2 linked regions of the Caenorhabditis elegans genome follow. The protein of the gene in region 2 interacts with the protein of the main gene of each other region in a biochemical or structural test. Each region holds a gene or a part of one and is shown on either strand. Other genes may lie near its edges.

Region 1 (7,892 bases), on a different chromosome or scaffold from region 2:
TTGTGTTGTGTCCACGTTATTATCGGAGCTGGCATCGTGTGGTGTAATAGGAAAAGAGAATTAGACGGCAAAGGTTTGAAAAGACGGAATGAATCTAAAAAATGTGTTCATTATTACTAGTTTTTACATATTAAGAATAGACACATAGTTTTAGAATAATACAATTGAAGGTACACCAGGAATTTACAATTTTAAATACATAGTATTACACAGAATCGAAAACGTGCGATTTTAGCTCCACAAAATATTTACCAGGTCTCGAAACGAATTAAATTCAGAAAAGCGTGCGCTTTTAAGGAGGTTACTGTAGTTCACAACTCTTTTTTATAGCAGAATTTGCATTTTATTCAAACTTTGATATATTTCAAAAAGTTCTCACATGTTATTAATACATTTTAAAGATACTATAGTACCCCTTAAAGGCGCGCATGAGAAAACCAGTCGATTCGAGACCGGACACCGTATTTTCGGAGCTAAAATTACAAGTTTTCGAATTTAAGTAAACTGAACGGGTAATGTACAAATACTACAATGCTTTTTTAAGCTATGGAACTCTTTTTCTTGTTCAAAAGACCAAGAGAACATAAAATCTCAAACAAAAATTAATACACATTTCCTGCTCGAGTGGAGAGCAAGAACAGCCGGCTTATCGTAACCAAGAGGAACAACAACTGGCTTGAGACTCCATTCAGCAGATTGTGATCCAAAAAGTGGAGATCTCATAAAGTTTTGAAGTTGATTCGCATCGAATTCAGTATTGTCCATGTGCACATCAAGTTTGTCGGATAGACGAAATGCGGTCGATTCGATGAATGGAAGAGCCGATAGAGTGGTAACTCGTGGGCAGTCGGAGATCCTGAAGTACGCAAGATTCGGGCATGAACGGGAAACGCGTTGGGAGAAGTGATCTGTGATCTGAAAATTCAATTGTTATTGAGATTCCTTTAAATGTATCATATTCACCTGTGAAGTCCCTTTCAAATCAATTTGAGTAAGAGTCTGGAAAGATGCCTGAAAGCATCTGAGCAACTTTGCTTCAGTGTCACCTCCCAAATTGCATCCTTCAATCTCAACTTTCTCAAGCTTATCATAACCAGCAAGTAAAGCGAGAGTCCATGTATTTATTCGTTCCAAATCAATTTCAGATAGTGCCAGTTGCTTTAGTGGAGCATTTTTTGTCAATTGGAGCAGTTGAGCTAGCTGTTCATCAGAAATCTCGTCGCCGACTAATTCATTTTCCAATTGAAGGGAATGAATTTCTGAAAATCAAATTGGCAATTATACTCGAGAATTGAATGATTTTTTTTTAATGTTTCAATTTGTATCCAAACAGTTAGATAAAAGTAAAATAGACGAATAAGAAAATAAATACCGTTAACTATTTGTGGCATTAGAAAATGTAAAAGTTCTTGAATTTCTTCTCGATTTACTTTTGGAATATGAAGCTCAAATTCGTCTCCATCACATTTTCCATTCAATTTCTCACTTGTGATTCCAATCTTTATAGCACGGATTTTTGGAATCATATCTACGATAACTCTCATCACATCGATATTACTTAAAGCTGAATTAACAAGATCCGTAGGTTTTAACCCTTTATGGATTTCTCGGATGATTTCCAATGGCATATCACCGAGAATCATTCTGAAAATTTTGTTCTGAGTTTTTTTTGTTGTTGAAAAACATACAGTAAAAAAGGAAATGTACCGAAAGTGGGAAAAATTGAAAAAGGTAAAAATAAATATAAGGTTTATGGAATAAACTTCTGAAAATAAAATTGCAACAGAGTATATAGAAAATCGAACTGGAGTATTAACAGTGACACCCGATTACACGAGAAAATAAGACAGAGAAAGAGAGTAATTGATCAAAGACCCCACAGCTTTCTTCTCTCCGATCTGGCCGATTTCGATCCGACTTCAACAACACGCCTGGAAGATTCTGGTCGTTTGAACGCCTTGTCACTTTCTTCCTTCCGCCGTTCCATTTCTTTCTGCGCCTCTCGCATCTCTGCTTCCATCGTTTCAACCGTTCGGACACTCTCCATTTTCAGTTCTTTGCGTGATTGTTTCGATTCTTTGATCGAATAGAACATGGGTCCAAGTTCAGCAAGCCAGATTGCATCGACAGCAGTTACACATTGCATATATTCTTTGGCTGTCATAATCAATTCGTGGTACACCTTAATTTAGAATATTAATTTAAAGTTTAAAGGAATGTGTTTTTGGCGAATAATTTATTTTCCGCTTCTTTTTTTCGAAAAAGAGGATATACTGAAACATTCATAAATTTTTAAGTGTTACTTTTTTTCCAAAAATCATATTCAAAATTTAAAATAGAGTGCAATTTGGCCGAAATATTTGAAATACCGATTCAGCATTTTTTTTTCTTCAGATTCAGCCCTGCTTACCACGTAATCAGGCATGAAACCCATTCCAAAAAGAGCTGAAGTTGGATGAAGGAAGCATGGAATTCCGGTACGAACATTGACATATTCACCAATTCCTTTAAGACGAGCTGCATTGTGGAAATACGCAGAGCAAATGCATTTTCTCACAATATCCCATTCACTTCCGTTTGAGCTGAAATAATTTTATAAAATTGTAGTTCTAAGAAACTTTCAAATAAAAAAAACCTACATCAATGGAAGCTTGAGATCTTGCATAATTTCCTTCAATTGAGCACGAACTTCTCGAACCTTTTTCAAAGCTTTTACGTGTAAATAGTTGTCGGCACACCATTTTGCAGAATATTTGTGTGTTCTCCATTGAATATAGACGTTTAAGAAAGTGAGATGATCCGATTCGGGAACTTGGAACTTTTCTTTCTTGGCATCAGCTTCTTCTTCTCGTCCTTTTGGTCTGAAGAAAATTGCGGGCACTGACAACATCGAAACAATCGTCAGAACTTCATCACTGCATCCCATTTCAGCCGACATAATGAGCATTTTCGACAGAGTTGGATCTAGTGGGAATTCAACCATTTTTCGTCCCATTGGCGTGAGCTGTCCAGTGTTATCGAGAGCTCCAAGAGTCCAAAGTTGATACATTGAATTCAGCATATTGTCCTGTGGAGGTGCATCCATGAAGTGAAATTTCAAAAGATCATCCACTCCGAGAGACTTTAAAAGAAGCACTACATTGGCGAGATTGGTTCTTTGAATTTCAGGTACAGTACTCTTCTGAAAAATAAATTTGTTTTTATTTGAAACAGGGCTGAGCATATATATATATTTTTTAATATATATTTTTAAAAAATAAAATTAAAAATTTGTCGTTTTCGATATTTTTCCCATGAAATTTTTAGCATTCGTCGCTCACTCCAGATTTGTGAGATTCACCTCAAACTTACCAAAAGCTCATCTTTAAATTGTCTTTCAGTATACAAACGATAACACTGTCCTGGTCCAGTACGTCCGGCACGACCAGTTCGTTGATTCGCTGATGCTTGTGACACTGGGAAGATCGATAGAGCATCCATACCGATTCTTGGATTGTACACCTTCATCTTACAGAAACCCGGATCAATTACAAATAGAATTCCGTCGACAGTGAGCGATGTCTCTGCAATATTTGTAGCCACAATTGCTTTCCGCATTCCACCGGGTGCTCTTTGGAAAATCTTGGCTTGTAAGTCACTTGGAAGCTGGGAATAGATTGGTAGAACAGCAAGTGGAGGAGCTTCATCAAGTTCACCAAGCTTCTCTTTGATCATTTCACAAGTGCACTCAATATCTTCTTGTCCTGGCATGAAAATCAAAATATCTCCGTCCATACCACCCAGATGAATTGTAACAGCTTGTTTAACAGCAGCATCCACATAATCTTCAACAGGAGTTCTCGCATGAAACAGTTCGACTGGGAATGTTCTTCCAGGAATTGTAAAAGTGGGACAGTTTCCTCCGAAAAAGTCTGCAAACTTATCAGCATCCATAGTAGCAGAAGTAACGATTAGCTTCAGATCAGCTCGTTTTGCAATCACTTCTCTGAGCAAACCAAAGAGTACATCTGTATTGAGTGAACGTTCGTGAGCTTCGTCCATAATAATTGCTGAATATTGATCAAGACTTCCATCACCAAGACATTCACGAAGCAGAATACCATCTGTCATGTACTTGATTATTGTTTTTTCTGATGTACAATCTTCGAATCGAATCGCGTAACCAACGTCTTGTCCTAGCTGTAAAAATTAAAATAAAATTGTTTTCTTAAAACAGTGGTGAAATACATAATTATCTCAAAAATGAAACTAACATCCACTCCCATTTCATCAGCTACACGTCTAGCAACACTCATTGCAGCGACACGTCTCGGCTGAGTACATCCGATGAGTCCCGAATCACCAAATCCATCTTCAAGTAGGTATTGTGCCAACTGAGTTGTTTTTCCTGATCCTGTTTCTCCGACGATGATAACCACATTATTCTCACGAATCACATTCATCATCTTCTGCCGACACGCAAATACAGGCAAATACTCTCTTTGCTGCTTGATAGACTTTTCCATCGCAAAATCCGAAACTGCTTCATTATCTTTCATGTGAGATGCAAATTGATGAGATTCTTTGTAATTTCCAGAATCATCGTCTTCTGGATCAGCAGTTTCATCTTTTTTCTCTTTAACACCCATCAAATTTCCGAGTTTTGATCCTGCCAACTCCCAATGCTTATCTTGAGCCTTCTTCCTATCTTCAACTTCTCTCCGTTTTCGTACTGCAACACTTCCTCTTGCTGCTGAAACAGCCATATCACATGTTGTATCAACAACCGGAATGATTGGTTGTGCTTGTTTAGTGAAAACAATTCGACCATCAAGGAATGGAGGAACAATGTTTTGAACGAGAATTGTGACACGATTCTCATCAGTTTCATCTTCAAAAATACTTGATAATTCATCAGCCATCGCGACGACTCCTGATCTATGCAGTCGATTGTTCTCCCATAACTCATTCTCTCTTTTGATCGCCTGCTGCTTCACTGTAAGTCTCGGCTTCTGAGTTTTCTCCTGCCATTGCTTTTCTCGTTTTTCCACAAATTCGTCAGAAACCTTATTGAATGGATTATACTCATCATCAAATGCTCCTTCATTATCATACCATTCTCTGTCCAAATTCTTCTGTTCCTCTTCCCATTGAGCTCTCTCTTCGTCATCATGAAATGTGGGCTCTGCTTTTTCTTCTTTAACACTTCGTACCGAATCTTCTGGTTTTCGATGTCTCCGTCTCTTCTCATCATCTCTATTCCTTCTTTCACTTCTCCATGCACTTGAAATGCTTCGTTCCGAATCCATATATCGTTTTCTGTCTCTTTCACCCCGCGGAGTCGGCATATCCCAACTATTTCGTTTTCTGGAAGATCCTTCACGATCATCTTGATCCCAGCTCATTCTGGATGGTGTATCGGGAACTTTAAAGCGAGGAGTCTGATCTCCACTTCGATCTTTCCAACCTCTTCTACTACTCGGCTCTCTTCGTTCTGATCTGTCACGGTCTCGTCTGCGATCATCATCCCGACTTTTGTATTTCATTCCACGGTCGTCACGATCTCGATGCTTCTCATGAACTCTGAAATCATCAATTTACTTCGCTAATTTAATGTTTGAATCACTTTTCAATTCCTTTTCGAACCGATTCCGTGACACCTCGATCGTCATCATCCTCAAGACGTTTTCTGGCGTGTTCCCGCTTTGTAGACGCCAATCTATCGAGCCCAAGCAAGCTTCTGCAATTTAAATTGTTTTTATTTGAAGAAAATTAAAGTATATATTTAGTTACTCACTTCCCGGATGGTTCGGTTGGTTTTGAATCTCCCTCTACTTTTTTCTTTTTAATAACCAATCCACCAAATGTGTCACTGGTTCCTTCGAGGCGGCCATCTGCCCGTTTATCCGACATTTACTAAAAAATAAAGAATTTAAGAAAAACTAATTTAATTTCGAAAAGGAAATCGAAAATAAATAAAAAATAAATAAAAAATGAGAGAGCGAGAGAGAACGCATTATGAAAAGAGACTCAGACTTTTGTGTCTCGATAGAGCGCTCTTTCATAAAAACATTTTTCGCGAATTTTTTGTTTTTTCTTCAATTTTCTCAACACTCTTTCTCTCTTGTTGCATCTTTTTCTTTTCTTTTCTCTCATTAAAGGTTTCCCGGAGGTCTCTTCAAACAAAAAATAGCCTATAAATCAGTAGAAAATCACAATCTACTTCAATGCCACCAGTTTTCACTATTGAATCCGAATTTTTGATGTTCTTCAAATTTCCCTCTGTATCATCAACCACCGATACCCACTTAAACGGTTCAATTTCTATAGATTTGTTTGTTAACTCAAGCGCTTGAGAACCCCGGAAGCAACAGATCGGAGAGCTGAAGTGTTGAAAGTTGTTTCGAGAGAGTGGATTGCTTAGGCCCTAGCTTAAAATAAACTCAATATATTTAGAATTCAAATTGTTATTTCATATCAAATCATACGTTTACTAATTTTGAAATCTATTGATTTTCTTTTTTTCTCACCTCAATTCTATTTGCAACCCGAATTGCGAAATCGAGAGGGGCGGTCACCATGCCGGCAGCATCGATGACTCATCACTCGTATCACGAACGTTATTTGCATTCTAATGTCTGAAATGACGTTTTTCCCTTCTTGTTGAATGATTAGGAGTGTGAATCGATGTGATGAACTTACTTTCTATTACATTTTTCTTGTCCTTCATTAACGAGAAGCTTCGTATTTTCCTATTGCTCACCTCAAATTAAGGATGGAGTGAATTGGCTGGGGATTTTGCGTTAAATTATAGAAAATTGACCCTGCTAACTGAATATAACTGTAAAAATTAAACTTTTACTAAAACTAAACTTTATTTTTGAATTCTCGTAACATCTTCGTGTTTTTTTTGCTAAATTCATTGGTTTTCTTGATTAATGTTTCACATTTTAATTGAAACACAGTTTGTCAAAATTTCAGAAAAATTCTTTAAAGAGAATCTTTCTATTTTATTTTTTTTATTTCTCACTTCAAATTAGTATTAATTTTCTTTCAGAATGGCTACATTCGGCTTTCTCAGCGCACCGCTGAAATCGACTAATGAAGTGGATCTTGTGAAGCCACTTACAAGCTATATCGACAATGTCTACAATACATCCGATAATAACCGCTCAGATGTCGCCGAAGCTGTTCAGGAACTTAATAAACTCCGTTCAAAAGCTTGCTGTCAGCCTCTCGACAAGCATCAAAGTGCTCTCGATGTTTTGACTAGGTAATAAATTTAAAAAAAAAGAATATCTTTGAAATAATTGTTTTTTACAGATATTATGATCAACTCGTTGCCATTGAAAACAAAATTATAATCTCTGCAACTCAAAATCCAGTTGTTTTCAAATGGAAGGATGCATTCGACAAAGGAAGCCTCTTCTCAAGCAGAGCATCCTTATCCCTGTCTGACGGATCCTTTGAACGTGCTGCCGTTCTGTTCAATATCGGATCGTTGATGTCTCAAATCGGAGCTGCTCAACAATTCCATACCGATGATGAAATTAAAGTATCTGCAAAACTATTCCAACAATCTGCTGGAGTATTCGCCCGTCTTCGTGATGTTGTTCTCGGAATGGTTCAACAGGAACCAACTCCTGATCTCATGCCAGATACACTTGCTGCTCTTTCTGCATTAATGACTGCTCAGGCACAAGAGGCGATCTATATTAAAGGCCACAAGGATAAGATGAAGGCTACATCAATGGTCAAAATATCTGCTCAAGTTGCCGAATTTTACTCGGAAGCACAAAAAATGATGTCTAAGGATATTGTTCGAGGGCTATGGGACAAAGATTGGAGTGCCATCGTTAGTGGAAAAAATCTCGCCTACCAAGCACTCGCCCAGTATCATCAATCAGAAGTGT
Region 2 (7,899 bases):
AGCAAAATCAGTTCGATGTAACAGTGATGTACTGAAAGCAGTGAATGCAAGTGAAGTAAGTATTAAATCAAATAAAAATATATTTGAACAATTTTTTATAGGTATTATTTCATTTTGCTCAACTACCAACAATCGAAAAAATCAATAATAATAACAATAAAAAATCATTGCACTTCATTCATCGAGTTTAGATTTTCGTGATTCCTCTCATCCATCTTCGCCATTTCTCTTTTCAAACCGGTGTCTTCTATTTGATCATGTTCACTTTTAAATTTTGTGCCTTTTATGTGAAACCAGCCAATGAATTTTTGATTTATTCATTGAATTTTATAAACAAAACAAGCATGTTAAAAATTTGAAATCTAATCAGATTTTCTATTTATCATGCAGATACAAAGACATGATAATCCACCAACGTTGACAACATGAGACGCGTCAGTTTGCCATGAAGACCGATCTTTTAGGAATGAGTTTTCTACAAATATTAAATAATTATTCTGGTTTTTAAAGTTTTTTCACAATACCTAAACTCCGTTTATCATGAGTCATCAAGACTAATCGTCCACCTTTCCTTAAAACTCGTTTCCATTCTGCGAGAAGCCTCGGGTACAGTAACCTGTTATCTGTGGTACTTCCTATCTTCTTGCCAAATCTGAAATATAAATGTTTTTAAGTGGAAAAATCGTTGAAATGATTACGGTAGATCCGTGACAAGTGCATCGATTGAATTATCGCGTAGTGGAAGATTTGTAGCATCCCAAGTGAGAAAGTCGCAGTTTGATCGGGAGCTCGATGAATTCGCCGACTTAAAATATTTATTATTTAAAAATGGCAAATTTTCAATTGTGGCTAATCTACTCATTTTTGAAATAATTTCGACACAAATTCTTCGTTTTGCTTCTAATTTAAAAAAACAACTATTTTTCCGGCAAATCGGCAAACCGGCAATCTACCGAAAAATTTTGGGAAACTATGGTTTTGCACATTTTTTGTGAAATTATGGAATTTCAATTTTAACAGGAAATGTTTTAAAAAGGCACAGTTTTATCCCTCTAAAGACTTTCGGCAAATTGATGTTCGGAAAACGGCAAATCGGCAATTTGCTGAATTTGTCGACAAAAAATTGCCGAACGCCAAATGCGAGACGAAACGAATAATTTACGCCGAAAATGATAAAAACACGGAAATGGGCGGAGTTTCGAGACGAACCCGCGGTAATTCAAATTTTCGTTTTTTCTTACCCAATTCTGTAGACATCTGCTCATTGCCATCTCATGATTATCTCCACCCAAAAATAATGAATTTTTCCATGAAATTGCCCCTTCAATCGGAATAGAGCCACCTCCACACATTGCATCGACAATAATATCTCCTGGTTTTATATCAGCTAATTGAAGCATGCAATGACACATTGTAGATCTCATTGTAGTTGGTCCATACGCACAGATATTACGTTTGAATAGAGATTCTTCGTTCAGAGCCATCATTACTGTCATCTGAAAATATGAATGAATTAGAAGAAATTCAAAGAAAACAGCTGACCAGAAATTCTACAAAATGAGCCAGCGTGGAATATTTTCCCAATTTTTTTCATTAAAAGTTCTTGATAGAATACTGTATTTAAAAAATTTGATTTATCTGAAAATTTTTTCCAACTAAAATGCTAGCTATTTTCAGATAAAGCAAATTCCTAAATTTTAATGAGAGATATTGGGAGCAAGGGTGCGAAAATTTTTCGATTTTTCAAATATCGAAAAATTAAAAAATGTATTTTATCGTTTTTTCGATTTTCAAAAATTATCTTAATATTTTGGTCATTATTCCTCTTTTTAGAAAATTTTTATGTTTTTTCTTATCTAAATATCAATATATTAGATTTTAAAAAAAATCATATTTTATGGTTGATTTTCTGAATTTTTTTTTTGGTTTTTGAAAATCGAAAAATCAAAAATTTTCGTTTTTCGATTTTCACTGAAAAAAATCGAAAAATTCCACCATTGATTGGGAGAACACTATCTCATTTTGTAAAATTGCAGGTACACCGATCTTACATTATTCCGATCAATCCTTAATACTACTTCTATATCGAACTCTTTGACACTACATTTCCAACCAAAAGCATTATTAATTTCAGCTCCAAACTTCGAAGCAGCATCCATTGAACTGAATTTGTGAATCTCTTTCTCTCCACATCGTTTGCATGTTACTCTGAAAAAAAAGTCATCATAACTTTTGAAAAATAAAAATTATTAGGAAAAAAAATAATTGAAATTTTATTTCAAAACTAAAATTTTGAATTGTAATTTTTGTGAGATGTACCAAATTTTTTCAGTTTAAAACCACAATAAAATTTCGAATTTTTAATTTTTTTTGAAAATTTTAATAAGGATTTTTGATATTGATTTCAAAAATTACCTAAACTTGGGTGAATCGTCCGTAACTTCACTATATATTCGATCTTTTTTAAATTGTTGAATCTGTTTCAAAATCTTTTCACTTCCTCCGTTAATCGCGTTTCCACGTGCCAATTGATAAGCTTCAATTGCCAATTTCCAGTTACAAAATGAAATTTGCGATTGAATAGTTTTCAATGCATCTTCTTTTTGCATTTCAGACAGCTTTTCAATTGTTTCTTCATAAAAAACCATATAAAGATTATCGATTGATCGAAGTTGCAGAGTCTCGTTTACACGTTCCAGATCTATTGAAAATCTTACATTTCCACGTCCTGGATGGCATTTTTTAGGCGAAAATAATTTTGAAATCTGAAGGAACTCGAGTAAGATATTTTATCTAGTTTTCAGGATTTACCTCTTTTGCTGCAACTTTTTCAAAACCGGTGATGACAGCAGCACAGATTTCAACGGAGTCTGTCATTTGTCTGAATATCTTTCGTATCTGTTGAAATAGATTCCTCCAAATATTATGAGAAAATCTGAATCTTATTTCTGAAAATAGTTTCAAAAAGAATGGTTTGTAAAGGTGATAATATTTATATGATAGATATCTTCCAAAAATCTTAACTGGACAAATGGTAAAAAAAGTATGAGATGGGGGAGAACAACAGACGTATGAAGTGAAAGTGTATACTGATCTGTCTTATGGGGAATTGCAATTTGATTTTACATGATAATTGTGGGGTAGTTAGGTTTTGAAAAAAAAATAGGGAGTTTTGAAGGTAGGGGAAGATGCGAGAATAAACCAGATATCATGAAGAGAAAAATTGGGGAAATAAAGTAAAGTACTGATTGATTTCGGTTCCGGAACCCGCAATAGAATGTGTATATCAATGAAAGTGGGAGAACTGGTGATTTAAAATGATTGAATGTAAAGAATAAGAGAAATAATTGAGATCATTGTGAAGAATGTTTCCAGCACTCATTCGTAGAACGGGATAAGCCATTCGTTTTCCTATTAATCATCCAGAGTAATACAATCATCTTTTTTTGCTGGTGTTGATGTCTTCTTATCTCCTTTTGGGTGATTTGAAGTGAGATGGGCTTCCAGAGTCTGATAACTCGAGCATTTGAACGCGCACACATCGCACGAGTACATGATTTCAGCCGAGCACAACTTCACTTGATGATCAGCTACCAAGTGTTGAAGCATGTTGAACGCATAGTTCTTGCCGCATGTCTTGCATCGACCTCCGTCTTCCTTCTTTTGCGCTTTGAGGAGCAGATCAGCAGTGACGAGACCATGCGACATCACCAAGTGCCGCTCCAACCCTTCATAAGTCCAGAATCTGTCACGGCATCGAGAACATGCCAGTGGAGCTCCTTGCGACATGTCCTGCAGCACTTTTCCAACCATCTGCTTATGAGTAGTCTGAAAATGTGATGTTTAAGATATTTAATAATCGGTTTTGAAATTGAAATAGAAACGTTTCTTAAAATTACCTGAAGATGCTGTAGATACTTCTCCTTTTCCTGCACTGACGCATCACAAATTTCGCATACAAACGTGGGAGCTGAAGAAGAGCCAACAGTAGCATGAGACGGCGTAGTAACAAGTTTCGAACTTCTGTGTGTTGGCGTCTTTTGACTGTTCTGGCTTCTCATGGAGTTCACCGCAGCCTGAAGTTGTTGAGCTCCTTGTTGCGACTTCAAAGCTGCCATTTGCTTTTGGAGAAGTTGAGAAACTGCCAGCGAATTTCCTTGTTGACCACCTCTACGCAACGACGCTTGCATTGCTGAAATATAAATAATTATACAAAATACTTATTTAAAATATGTTTAGCTATTACCTGCAATCAGAGTGTTATGATTCACATTTCCTTGATTCTGCTGTGCACGTTGAGCCTGCGCTGATTGTTGTTGCAGCAGTTGAGCCACTTGCCGGAATTGGGCCGCTTGCTGTTGCTCACGAAGACGAGCCTGTTGCTGTTGTTGTTGCTGTTGTAATTGTTGCTTCCGTAAGAGTTGCGCAGCGGCTGCAGCTTGTGCTGCTTGCTGTTGATGCAGAAGTTGCTGTTGCTTCTTTTGTTGAGCTTGCTGAAGAGCAGCTTGTTGCTGCTGTTGAAGAATGCTGGGATCCAATTGGGGCCTCTCCCAGAGCCATCTGTTGATATAGAGATGATCGTCTTGCTTCGGCATCATGATGTTTCGAATGCGAATGTAGTCCTTCTTGCACTGCTTGTAATGCTGCTCACGGACACCTTTGAAATTGAAGTCTTCTTCGCAGATTGCACATGGATACTTGGACTCCTTCTCTTCCGATTTTGCAATAACAAGATGAGTTTCGCTGTAATTAAATGAATATTGAAAGATGAAAAAAAAAAAACTTACAAGTAGTGATCCTTCATTCTTTGCTCACTCGTGTCCGTCTCTTTACACATGGTGCACTGGAATTTGGATCCTGTGAAGTGCAAATTCTCCTTGTGAGTGCTCATAACCAGCTTTGATTCCGTCTGGAATCCACAGACGTCGCATCGATGCATTTTCAACTTGTACGGCTCATTTTTGCGTTTCAATGTCTCCCAAACTGGTTTCAACTGCGCAGCGACTTGCTTATAGGTTTCAAGATTTTTTGGCACCTCTGGAAGATTCTTCGCGTGAACTATATCACAATAGGTAGCTTCTTGAACGAGATCCTGTCCAATGTCCACGAGCAGTTTTGTCATATTTGGAACAGGATTATGTTGTTTCAGCTGAGCTCTCTCTCGTTTCTCGGAATCACTCAACTTTGGTCTTTCTTCTCCAAACATCCTGTTGATAACCTTCGTCAAAGGCATTTCGGGATCGTGCTCAATCAATAAGTCGCAAACTTGACTTGGTGGGAATGATATTGTGTTTGGGAGAACGAGAACTTTGTCCAGGATCAGCTTCCGAACCGACAGAGGCTCCTTTTGAACTTGCGCATTGATTGCTCCGAGAAGAGTGTCCAGAACTTTTCGGCTTTTGCTGGATGGTTGATCCTTCTGCTCCTTCACATACTCTTCCAGCTTGTCGAGCAATCTCTTCTGCGCCTGCTCATTGTTGTCCTCTTCTGGAACGCTTGTCGCCTTGACATCATCAATTTTAGCTTTTTTAGCTGGGGCAGGGGTAGAAATTTCCTGAATCTCGTCATCATCGTCGTCGTCGAGTTCGATGCATTCGACAGGCCGCTTCACACCCTTCCCATTCTGTTCGACAGGCATTGAAGAATCTTCTGGCTCTTTCTCTGTAGCGATCTCAGTTGTTCCGTTTACGGAAGGTTCTGGCTCCTCTTCATCTAGCACCTCCTCAGTAACTGAAAATAGAAAGTTAAAATTAAACTTGGTAAAATTATAAAACACACCTGTTCCGTTGGCAGTATCCTCCGACTTTCCGTTCGGCTCCTCAGTGATTTCCATAACATCGCCATCATCGTCTTGTTCAATCTCAGATGATGCCACAGTCACTTCGGAAGCCCCCTCATCCTTTTTACGCGCTTCCTCTTCGATTGGAACCGATGTAGATGCAGCATCACCGTTTTCATCAGATCCATCAGGTGAGGGATCCGTAGACTCTTCGGTGTCATCTATCTCGATCACTTCCACGTCTGCAGATGCCGCTTCCTCTTTTCCGTTCTCTTGATTTCCGTTGACTTCGGAACCATTCGCCGCGTCGGCCATCACTTCGCGCTGTTCTGCCTTCAGCTGCTGAAAACGTTTTATTCAGATTTAAATTCCCAAAACTTTTCCTCACCTCAATTGTGTCTGGCTCCGAATCTGAGGACGATTCACCAGCGCTTCTCGGATCCGTTGGTTCCACAGACATGGAAGTGGTGTTGGTCGTTGTGGCGAGTACCGTCTCGTCGGCGGTGACCATTCTGGAAAAATAGAGTCTAGATAGTGAGAAATAGGCAAAGAGAGAGTGATGAGAAGGAAGCAAATTAGGACAGTTACAGTCGGAGAGGTGGGAGATTCAAACTGGTAGGAATAAAATGCGCGCGCGCGGCAAGCCAGATTTGAACGCACAAGAGAACCAGCTGTGGTAAGTGACTGAGTATCAAACGTGGTACGCAGCCAAATCGGCCTCTCTCCTCCCCTTCCTCGGCCGCTGGTCGCAGCCGCCGACGCTGAGAAGAAGGGTGAGCAGCACTCGTCCTGCTCGCATGCGTCTCTTCACTGGCAGTACTCTCTCATCGGTCCGTCCTGGTATTCCGCGTCGGGAGCGTCAACAGAATCATGCTTCAATCACCAAAAAATAAGCCGGGCAACTTGTAGCAATTGGAATTTACAAACACATTTTGTTAGAGCGCTGCGTACTTCATTATGATTCATCCGAAAAGTTCATCAAAATGATTTACTGTAACGATAAAGGCAGATAAATTTAAAACAGTTAATTTTAAAAGTTCAAGCACGCAACCTAATTACACAATCTGATATATCCATTATACTGATTCTCAAAGCGAATAAACCGGGGCTCACTATTAATTACGAAAACCGAAAAGTTTGAACACGTCCCACCCGGGCGGTGCGGATGGCGACGGCGCGGTGTGTGAGGCGAAATGATGTGTGTATGTCATGAGTGTGTGAGCGTTCCGTGAGCGCATGAATGAGTGTTTTGTGAGCGTGACGTGCGTGGCGACGGGTTGTTGTGGTCTCGCCATCATAACCTTAAATGGTCTAAAAATTCATAACCGCCATTGTCGGTTAGGCCGGGTGCTGTCTTTATGGGCTGCGAACTATCTTCTACCAGGAAGACGCCCGTTCCTAAAACTTGAGAATCAGCTAAATATTTCTATAGCGTTTTCTAGGAAATTTCTACAGGCCTTAAATATAAATTCCGATTAAACATTAAACGAAAATCTAAGATGTTGAAAGGATCGTGTTAGGATCAGCGCTATATCAGCTGGAAGTGTGAATTCCTTTGCATCTAGAATACAAATGATAGTAACCTGAACTAAATTCGGTGCATTTCAATTGAAGTTGGCGTCTTTCTTCATTCTCAAGTTAAATCGAATTCTCGTAGGTTTGTAAATTTTTGATAAAAATTAGAACCTGATTTCGTAATTTAGGTTTCTGTGAGATTCAGCAGTTCTAGGATACATTCGAAAAGTTTGTGAGAGAAAAGTTATGACTATTCATGTTTTGAAACGATAATGACCTTATAATCATGAGGATCAACATTTCTGAGGATATACTACTCGCTGGGCACTATAAACTAATGGAAAAACTGCATTTCTGAAAAAAAGTGACACAATGAAGAAAGATATTTGCAAGATCAGTCAATGTGGGATTGACACCGTTGTATTTATTAATTGAGTATTTCCTCGGGTCTCGCCACGAAATCGCAACAGGTGCAGTTTCGATAGCAAGGGAGTGAACGTTGGTTCTCAGCCACACATTCGCTCAATTTGAAATTTTTGTGTTTTCAAGATTCAATTGCAGCTAAATAGAGAACCGAATATTCATTCTCGACGGGTTACTGTATT

The links. The genes of interacting proteins can lie anywhere in the genome.
Region 1: the proteins of mep-1 (region 2) and mog-1 form a complex in vitro, tested with the Caenorhabditis elegans proteins (one study listed by BioGRID).

The regions. Positions count from the first base shown.
Region 1 is NC_003281.10:9,950,321-9,958,212, forward strand, and holds mog-1 (putative pre-mRNA-splicing factor ATP-dependent RNA helicase mog-1), read right to left. Parts: upstream 5,896-7,892; 5' UTR 5,893-5,895; coding exon 5,777-5,892; intron 5,720-5,776; coding exon 5,606-5,719; intron 5,563-5,605; coding exon 4,254-5,562; intron 4,180-4,253; coding exon 3,352-4,179; intron 3,182-3,351; coding exon 2,640-3,181; intron 2,583-2,639; coding exon 2,411-2,582; intron 2,183-2,410; coding exon 1,868-2,182; 3' UTR 1,740-1,867; downstream 1-1,739. Other genes in the region: K03H1.11 (F-box domain-containing protein), read right to left, coding at 592-915, 964-1,259, 1,373-1,643; alx-1 (Apoptosis-linked gene 2-interacting protein X 1), read left to right, coding at 7,038-7,252, 7,303-7,892. UniProt on the Caenorhabditis elegans protein: Probable ATP-binding RNA helicase involved in pre-mRNA splicing.
Region 2 is NC_003282.8:11,523,034-11,530,932, reverse strand, and holds mep-1 (MOG interacting and ectopic P-granules protein 1), read right to left. Parts: upstream 6,292-7,899; 5' UTR 6,291-6,291; coding exon 6,168-6,290; intron 6,122-6,167; coding exon 5,779-6,121; intron 5,731-5,778; coding exon 4,788-5,730; intron 4,744-4,787; coding exon 4,247-4,743; intron 4,193-4,246; coding exon 3,900-4,192; intron 3,829-3,899; coding exon 3,415-3,828; 3' UTR 2,979-3,414; downstream 1-2,978. Other genes in the region: M04B2.7 (uncharacterized protein), read left to right, coding at 1-55, 102-191; thum-3 (THUMP domain-containing protein), read right to left, coding at 363-475, 525-652, 699-805, 1,242-1,496, 2,052-2,208, 2,416-2,765, 2,812-2,877. UniProt on the Caenorhabditis elegans protein: Has a broad role in development, specifically in the genetic pathway SynMuvB that negatively regulates specification of the vulval cell fate. Required for fem-3 3'-UTR-mediated repression in the regulation of the sperm/oocyte switch.